2 linked regions of the Mus musculus genome follow. The protein of the gene in region 1 purifies or fractionates together with the protein of each later gene. This does not show direct contact. Links are inferred from orthologs where the notes say so. Each region holds a gene or a part of one and is shown on either strand. Other genes may lie near its edges. The genes, in order: Ewsr1 and Ddx17.

The links.
Region 2: the proteins of Ewsr1 (region 1) and Ddx17 purify together in Homo sapiens (affinity purification with mass spectrometry; 3 studies listed by BioGRID, with this or other methods). This does not show direct contact. The link is inferred for Mus musculus from reciprocal best matches to the Homo sapiens genes EWSR1 and DDX17.

Annotation. Positions count from the first base shown.
Region 1 is NC_000077.6:5,081,807-5,085,614, reverse strand, and holds part of Ewsr1 (RNA-binding protein EWS), read left to right. Parts: intron 1-2,043; coding exon 2,044-2,255; intron 2,256-3,181; coding exon 3,182-3,362; coding exon of another isoform or gene 3,363-3,366; exon of another isoform or gene 3,367-3,808. UniProt on the Homo sapiens protein: Binds to ssRNA containing the consensus sequence 5'-AGGUAA-3'. Might normally function as a transcriptional repressor. EWS-fusion-proteins (EFPS) may play a role in the tumorigenic process.
Region 2 is NC_000081.6:79,543,870-79,548,399, reverse strand, and holds the start of Ddx17 (probable ATP-dependent RNA helicase DDX17), read left to right. Parts: upstream 1-1,658; 5' UTR 1,659-2,155; coding exon 2,156-2,205; intron 2,206-4,530. UniProt on the Homo sapiens protein: As an RNA helicase, unwinds RNA and alters RNA structures through ATP binding and hydrolysis.

The sequences.
Region 1 (3,808 bases):
CTTGCCCATAGTTGACCACATACCTAGTTAATAGTCACACCTCAGCCTTGGATTCCCATAGCAGTGCTTGGGATCTAGCTAATAACTGTTCTCTAAATACCGACCGCAAAACTTCAGTTTTGGTCTTATAACTAACTTAAAAGTATGAGAAACAGAACTGTTTGGAGCCATTGGCACAGAACCATAGCAATTACTCCTCAAACACAGGCACCATGGGCAAAGTGAAGGGCAAGACCTCCCTACTACTGTTTGTAGTGCTGGGGAGGGAATCTGGGCTCTTGTTCATTGCTGGGAAAGGACTTTGCCTATGAAGTACTCCAGCTCAAGTTTCCTTGTCCTTCATTTTCTGTCTTAACCATTGTAGCTTCAATGTTCAATTTTAGTTTAGAAAGCTGCAAGTTTTCTGAGCTGTGTCTCATTTGAAGTAAGTTTCAAATGAATTGACAAAATTGTTTTAAAAGGTTAGTTTAATTGGCTATAATATAAAATAGTTTCTGTTTGCATCTGTTTTAGGGTTTCTAGTCCTGCACAAAACATCATAACTAAGAAGCAAGTAGGGGAGGAAAGGGTTTATTCGGCTTACACTTACTTTGCTGTTCATCACCAAGGAAGTCAGAACTGGAACTCACACAGCGCAGGAAACTGGAGGCCGGAGCTGATGCAGAGGCCATGGAGGGGTGCTGCTTACTGGATTGCTTCCCCTGGTTTGCTCAGCTTGCTTTCTTACAGAACCCACAATAGGCTGGGCCCTCCCCTCTTGATCACTAATTGAGAAAATGTCTTACAGCTGGGTCTCATGGAGGCATTTCCTCAATGGAGGCTTCTTTTGTTTTGTTAAGATTATTTTATTTATATGAGTGCACTCTGTCTTCAGACATACCAGAAGAGAGCATACAGGTTGTGGGCCATCATGTGGTTGCTAGGAATTAAATTCAGGACCTCTGGAAGAGGAGCCATCTCTCCAACCCCATAGACTGAATCTTGACAGGTGTGGAGAGGTGTGACAAATACTTAGTTTAGTAGAACATATTTATGGTTCATTGAGAGTCCCATTGTGTCCCTACTCCAGCCAGGGTTATTCTGTGTGGTCCTGACTGTCCTAAAACTCAATCTAGATATTTAGGACAGGCTGGCCCTGAACCCAGGGATCTGTCTGCCTCTTGGGAGACAAGAGTCCTGGGATTAAAGCCTTGCCTTGCCACTACACCCAGCTAAGAGTCTTTAAGGTTTATTTTTAGTAGTATGTGGAGGTACATAGATTACCTGCTGGGTAGTTTTACAGAGACCTAACATCTTTTATACAGTATCCTAAGGTCTCTTACCAGTCTCGTCTTTATTCCTAGATTTCCAAGGATCAAATATGTTTGTTTGAAAGGTTGAAACTATAGCAAAGCGATTTTGAGTCTGAAAGAAAATGTCATTTTTGGAGTGGCATACTTAATATGCTCATGTTTACACTCTATTACCAAGCAGGTATTCCTCAGAAAGTCATAGTCATAACTCAACCTATTAGACGGCTGAAATAGAACACTTGCCTAGTGTGTGAGGCTCTAAGTTGGAGCCTCAGAACTACAAAAAGAAAAGAAGGTGTTCTGGGAACTAAATACCTCACTTGACTCTTCTTCCTCCTCACTTTCCGTGTCTTTTCATTAGTCATCTCTTAAGTGCACATGTACATAGTCTGCCCTTCTGAACTGTATTTGTCTTAAATGTATTTGAAAAACGTTTTAAGTAGGAGCTCTGAACCACAACTCAATGTTCACATGGGTTCTTTTCATTTTCTCTTTTACATTTAAAGCTTTATTATTGGAAATAAATCCAAAAGTGTTGCCAGACAGTGTTGCACACCTGTAATCCAGCACACGGGAAACTGAGGCAGAAGAGTTGTGTGCAGGTGGACAGTCAGCCTGGGCTACATGTAGTGAGACCCTCTCAATGAAAGTAAAAAGAAAGTAATTGTTAGGATGCCTGTGAATGTCTCATATTCTTGGCAGAAATAACATGATTTTTCTCCTTCCTGAAGATTCTGTTTTTTTCTTTCAGCTACTCCTCTTCACAGCCGACTAGTTACGATCAGAGCAGTTACTCTCAGCAGAACACCTATGGGCAGCCGAGCAGCTATGGACAACAGAGTAGCTATGGTCAACAAAGCAGCTATGGGCAGCAGCCTCCTACTAGTTACCCCCCTCAGACTGGATCCTACAGCCAGGCTCCAAGTCAATATAGCCAACAGAGCAGCAGCTACGGGCAGCAGAGTGAGTTGCTAAGAGAGAAAACTAAGTATGAGTGATTTTGCTTGGAGTTTGTGAGACTGGGGAATGCTTGTTACCACTGTTTGCTTCTGGAGTCTAGAGTGTGAGTGTGCACTATAACATCCTATCCTGCATGATAGTCTGAATGCCCAAGTAGGGGCTCTGTCAGCAGGGTGGGCGCTCTGCAGTGAGTAGGGCTGGCATTCTTTAAGACCTGCCTTAATTAAACATTAAGAGAAAGTGATAGCTATAGAGGGCTACTGTGGATTTTGATAACCAAGTAAAAACTGTGTTTTGATTTTGTGTAACTGAGTGAGCAAAGGGAGTCCTGCTCACAGAGCACTAGCGAGCACACCCCCAACCCCCAGTGCTTATCCTTACATTTGGAAAAGTGACTAAAAACCCAAAAGTATCTCAGTCACTATTTAATTTCTGCCTCAATTGTTGCACTTTTAAATTTGAATTTCATCAGCCAGGCATGATGGCGCAGCATTTGCAGTGAGGTTCCGACTCTTAAGGCTCTTAAGGGTGTGTGTGTGTGTGTGTGTGTGTGTGTGTGTGTGTGTGTGTGTTGTTTTATTTGTTGCTGGGATGACTAGTTACAATTCCGCCCTTTGTACGCCAGAGCCCTAGGTAACTTGGCACTCACTGCTTTTGGTGTTGAGAGTGCAAAGAAGCTGCTTTTGGAGACATCTGAAGCACAGAAACTTACAAATATATTTTCCCAGAAGAAAAATCCTTTGGAAGTAGTTTTATAGCCTGGCCATACAAGGCCTTGATAAGCCAACAGTTCTTACAGAGAGAGAGCCTGTGATAGAAATACTTTGAGCATAGTGCTTATGTTGAAAGCTCCATGAGTCCAGGAGAAAGGGTGTCAGGCATTGGTGTGAATGCTGGTCCGTGGCTTACAGATGTGACTCTTTCCTCAGGTTCATTCCGACAGGACCACCCCAGTAGCATGGGTGTTTATGGGCAGGAGTCTGGAGGATTTTCCGGACCAGGAGAGAACCGGAGCTTGAGTGGCCCTGATAACCGGGGCAGGGGAAGAGGGGGATTTGATCGTGGAGGCATGAGCAGAGGTGGGCGGGGAGGAGGACGCGGTGGACTGGGGTAAGAGCAAAACCTTTTCTCCTTTTATCTAATTTTGTTTCATCCATAGGATTTTCAATGGAAAGAAGGGACTGAAAGACATAAGAAATTTATCCCACATTTCCATGGACAATCTATTGCGGTCAAGCTATCTCCTAAAACATGGAAATGTCATTTAAGTGGCAGTTTGCTTTTTTCCCTGCCAGTAACCATTGTTGGGCTGGGGTGAACAAAGAATGGCTTTGAAACTAGAGCTTTCAGTCCCCTTCATGGTTTTCAGAGGTGAGAGCCTCTTTGGGTAATAGATTTGGGATGGAACACACACAACCCTTCTAATAACCCTAGCTTTTAACTAATGTCCTGAACGGTTGTCTTGAAATACCTGGTGTATGTACTGCAGAAAAGGAATGCAGCTGTTTTCCAATGTTTGTACCCAGATTTGTTGATCATGATGAAGACTGACTGAC
Region 2 (4,530 bases), on another chromosome or scaffold:
CTCAGAGAGACTAAAGAAAAGAGACAGTACACTGGGCCTTCACTAGATTAACTGTTCCTGCCTTAGCTGCCTCTCAGTTGATTCTCTGCACTGCAGTCAAAGGGGTCCTTCTTTATGCCGCTACTTTAAACCAGACATTTTCACCTTCAAGGAAACCAAGCTCTTTAAGTAGCTTCCATCTTCTTGGACTCAGGCTTTGCATAATTGATCTTCCCCCTTGGCAGCAAGGACCTTAGTTGAGACCTCAGCTCAAATGTCATTTGATAGATGGGGGATGCCTTCTGAGAGCACCCGATGTCATCCCGTTTCCTCAACTTGTCTCTAGCCCCTTTCTTGTTTTTGTTTCTTTGGTGTTTGTTGGTTGGTTTTTGAGAGAGGGTTTCTTTGTGTCACCCTGGCTATTCTGGAACTCACTTGGTAGACCAAGCTGGCGTTTAACTCAAGAGATTCACCCACGAGTGCTGGAATTAAAGTATGGCCTTCCCTTTAGTGTTTTTTTGCTGTTGTTCTTGGAGGTGCTGGGTGTTGAATCCAGGGCTTCAGTCACGGTCAGCAAGCACTGTTCCACAGCCTCAACACCATTTTCTTTTCCAAGTCAGCAAAAGTCTAACATACACATTTGTCATCTGTCTCCTCTCCGTCTCTAGAGAATAAAGCTCTGTGCCAAGGAACGTGTTGGATCCCCAGTGTCCCAGCAACTAGCACAATGCCTGGCTCTCCATGGCCGAAGTGACAAATGAACCGTTTCTCAAGACGCCTCTTTACTCTCCTGGCTTTCCTAACCTAAGCAACACTCAGGACATGAGACAAGACTAAGCCTCCAGTCTGCCGGCCTCCATTCTCCGCGGCGGTAGAAATGAGCCTAGAGGTCTCAAGGAACCCAGCAGTTCCACAATTTAGTAAAGCAACTATGTCCAAGTTTGTGTGGCTTGGCAGTGCGCAGGGATGGCGAGCCAAAGAAAGCAATCTAGGAGTTGGGTGGCACCGGCGGCCTAGCCCAGCCTGCCCTCCCCGGATAGGGTTTGCAAATCCTAGCCTGTCAAACCCACCGCTTCTGCAGTGGGGCACCCGGGTAAGGCACCCATTTTCATGGTGGCTAAGGTCCAAGGCGCCCACCTCAGAAAGGACTCTGGGAAGGTGTGGCCTCTGCGTCAACTACGGCCAGAGGAAAAGGTGCCAACCCTTTGTTCGGAAAATAGCACCTCAGTAAGAAACGCGGGAAACACAGGGTGTCTTTTGGCCCAGCCAGGCTGTTGGCCGCTGAAAGAGAGCGACACGACGCATCCAACATGGCTGCGGCGCCAGCGCGGCGAAAAGCGACGGGAAAGAAATGGCGCCGGGCTGTGTGGCCAGCTTGGGGCACACGGCGTTGGGACGTTGGAACCAAGAAAGCGGCCTCAAGACTCTCTGGGTTCTACTGCCCAGAGACCCGGAAGTCTGACTAAGGCTACGTGGAGTGCTACCATTATGTCTGCACAAGGCCGGCCTCAAGCGCCGGGTTGAGCTCGGAATGCCGGGAAAAGTCCATTCTCGAAACAGAATGCGCTACGAAGACTGCGCTGACCCGCAATAGTGGGCGGGCCAACGACGCCAACACTGTGACGTCGTGCCGACGGCTCGCCCCACCCCCAGCCAACGTTCTAGAGCTGGCGGTGCGAGAACCCTACGCCGGTTGCGCACATTGCCTTGTTTAAGGTGGGCCGACCAGGGCCCCCATCTCCGTCACCGACGTAAAGCGGTTCCGAGAATGTCCGTGGCGTCGCGCGGAGCCCTCCAGACGCTGTTTACGTAGCGTCTGGGCCGTGCGTAGCGTTAAGTTGGAGCGGTCTCCGCGGCCGCCGCCATTTTGTGCAGTTGCTGGGAAGGAAGGGAGACGCCTCAACCGTGGCACCGCCCGGTTTGAGCGGGACCAGACCTCCCGACTGTCCTAACAACCCCGATTCTCTGAGTTGTGCTCCCGTCTCCGACGAGAGAGGCGGCGACGGTGGCGTCTGCGACGGGAGACAGCGCGTCGGAGCGAGACAGCGCCGCGCCTGCCGCCGCCCCAACAGCGGAGGCGCCGCCGCCGCCATCGGTCATCACTAGACCCGAGCCGCAGGCCCTCCCGAGCTCGGTCATCCGTGCCCCGCTCCCAGATCTTTATCCGTTTGGGACCATGCGTGGAGGCGGCTTTGGGGATCGGGATCGTGACAGGGACCGTGGAGGGTAAGGGGGAGGTGCGGGCGGGGGGCGGGGTGGCCCGCAGAGCCCTGAGGCTCGCGCCGTACAATGGCGGCGGCGCGCAGGCCTCAGGCTTGGGCGGACGTCTCTGCGGACCGCGATCCTGGCTCGGAAGTGGCAGGCCAGCCTTGTCGCCTCTCTTGGCCCGCTCGCTGATCATTTGATCCCTGCAGGCCGGCCGCAGTGTCTGTCTGGGGGAGGATCCGGATGCTCAAGTTTTAATCTAGGAAAAGCTGCTTGAGATCGTTTCTTTTCCGCTATGTTAGCCATCCCTGTTAGAGAGGGACTGGAGTCGAAAAGGCCTTTTTTTGGTTTTAAACTAGGTTTTACTCCCTTTCTGTTATATTTTTGGTTAAGTGGAATCAGATTGGAATGGGAAGTGCTGGAGTTGCTTTCCAAAAGATCCAAATTGCGGGTGACTTTTTTTTTTTTTTTTTGAAACTAACAAAGCCTGTTGAAATCAAGAGAACTCCTTGAGGTGGCACACCCTGCACTAGAGACTGAGTCAGGCTTGGAGTTCAAAGCTAGCCTGGGCTACACAGATCAGAACAAGAGAACAGTTAGCAGAGTTCAAAGTGAGGGCAGTGGTAGAAAGAAAAAAAAATCAGAATAAGCCTTGTAAAGGAATCGTAATTGTAGAAGCTTTATTCTGTCCTAGGTCATTATTCAAGATCCAAGCAGTTTGGGATTATAAGCAAGCCCAGTGGAAATAACACATAGGAGCCACATTATTATCCTTATTAGACTTAGCCTTAAAATCTCCTAAAGATTGGGTTTTGGCCATTATTACAGATTGAAAACAAAAGAAAACTGGTTATTTCTAGAAGTGTTTTAGACTTGTATCAGTTGCTTCATTTGCAAGTGGAGTAAAGTAGTCAAATGAGAAGGCCTGGCTCACTGTAGTATTGCACTGAAAAGCCAGAGGCCTTTTAAAGGTCTTGGTGGGTCTACTCAGTTGAATGTTTTTCTTTCTAGTTGTGCTGGTTTAGCAGTGGTATTAATAAGTCACCCAAATTCTGCCTACTGAATGTAGATACCCAAAGAATTCCAGTAAAATTTCTGGCCATGATCACTGCAGGGTGGGTTTGTCTCAGGGCCATGAAGCTTAGTCTAACGGTTGTCCTGGAATGTGTCCTCAGTGTCCCCAAGTTCAGAAACACGGGTGTAGGCCACCACACCAGGTTCTAACAGAAGAGGGGATTACCTTGTGGGGTTCCTGCTACCTCTCCCAATATTGGCAGGTCTTGAAATGAAATTCTTTAAAATAACTTGAAATTTCTCCAATTTTCTAGTGGTTTACAGGAAATAAGGAAATGAGATCTTGCAGAGCATGGTGGCTCATGCCTTTAATCCCAGCACTCTGGAAACAGAAAGAGAGGCCTCCAGCACAGCCAAGGCTATATAAAAGAAACCCTGTCTCGAAAAACAAAAGAAAAAAGGAAATGAGATTTTTTTTTTTTTTACAGCCCTGTACTCTCATAGATTAAGACAAAGAGGGTATATTAGGATTGTAGTTTCTAATTTCTTGTATCTTAGGTTTGGCAAGTGGCCATATCTATATTGTTTAGCTTACCTGTTTGTTGTATCTAAAAGACAAGGCTTATTTAAATCTGAGGGGGGTTTGTTTTGACACAAGTCTCATAGACCAGACTGCCCTTGAACTCTGACCTTGCCCACAGCTTTCACGTGCTAGGACTACACGTTATTCAATACCATGTCTAGCTTTGAATCTTATTTAAAAAACAAAACAAATACCCATAACCTACATTGATGGGGTTTTTGTTTTGTTTTCTCCCTGTAACTAAATAGTATTATTTGACCCTGGTGTGGTGACTCACATTTATAATCCCAGTGTTTAGGAGGCTGAGGCAGGAGGATTTCATAAAGAAGGCTGGAGAGGAAAGGATTACAACTCTTTTATTCTGGCTCTTTCTTTAGAGTAAACTAAACACACTAGACCCTGATGTCCCAATAGTTTGCTTTATAGAGTAGCAGAGAAGTTTTTGCCCCCAGCATAAGTGGGGAAATTGGCTAAGAAGCTGTTGTAAATTTGAAGGACTTGCTTGAAGTACATTTTTTTCGATGTCCACAGTCTTGGTCTTGCAGTTTAAAAGAGTACCACTTCTCTGCAAGAGCAGAGACCGTTAGTTTTTATTGTATCCAGAATCTCTAGTGCCAATTAAAACTATACTTAGTATAAAGTCGGTATCACTAACTTTGTCAGAGAGCTAAAATAGGTGGGAAACTGAGGTGGGAGGAATGCTGTTCCTTTCCTGTCACATGAGATGGATATTAACAAATCTACATTTT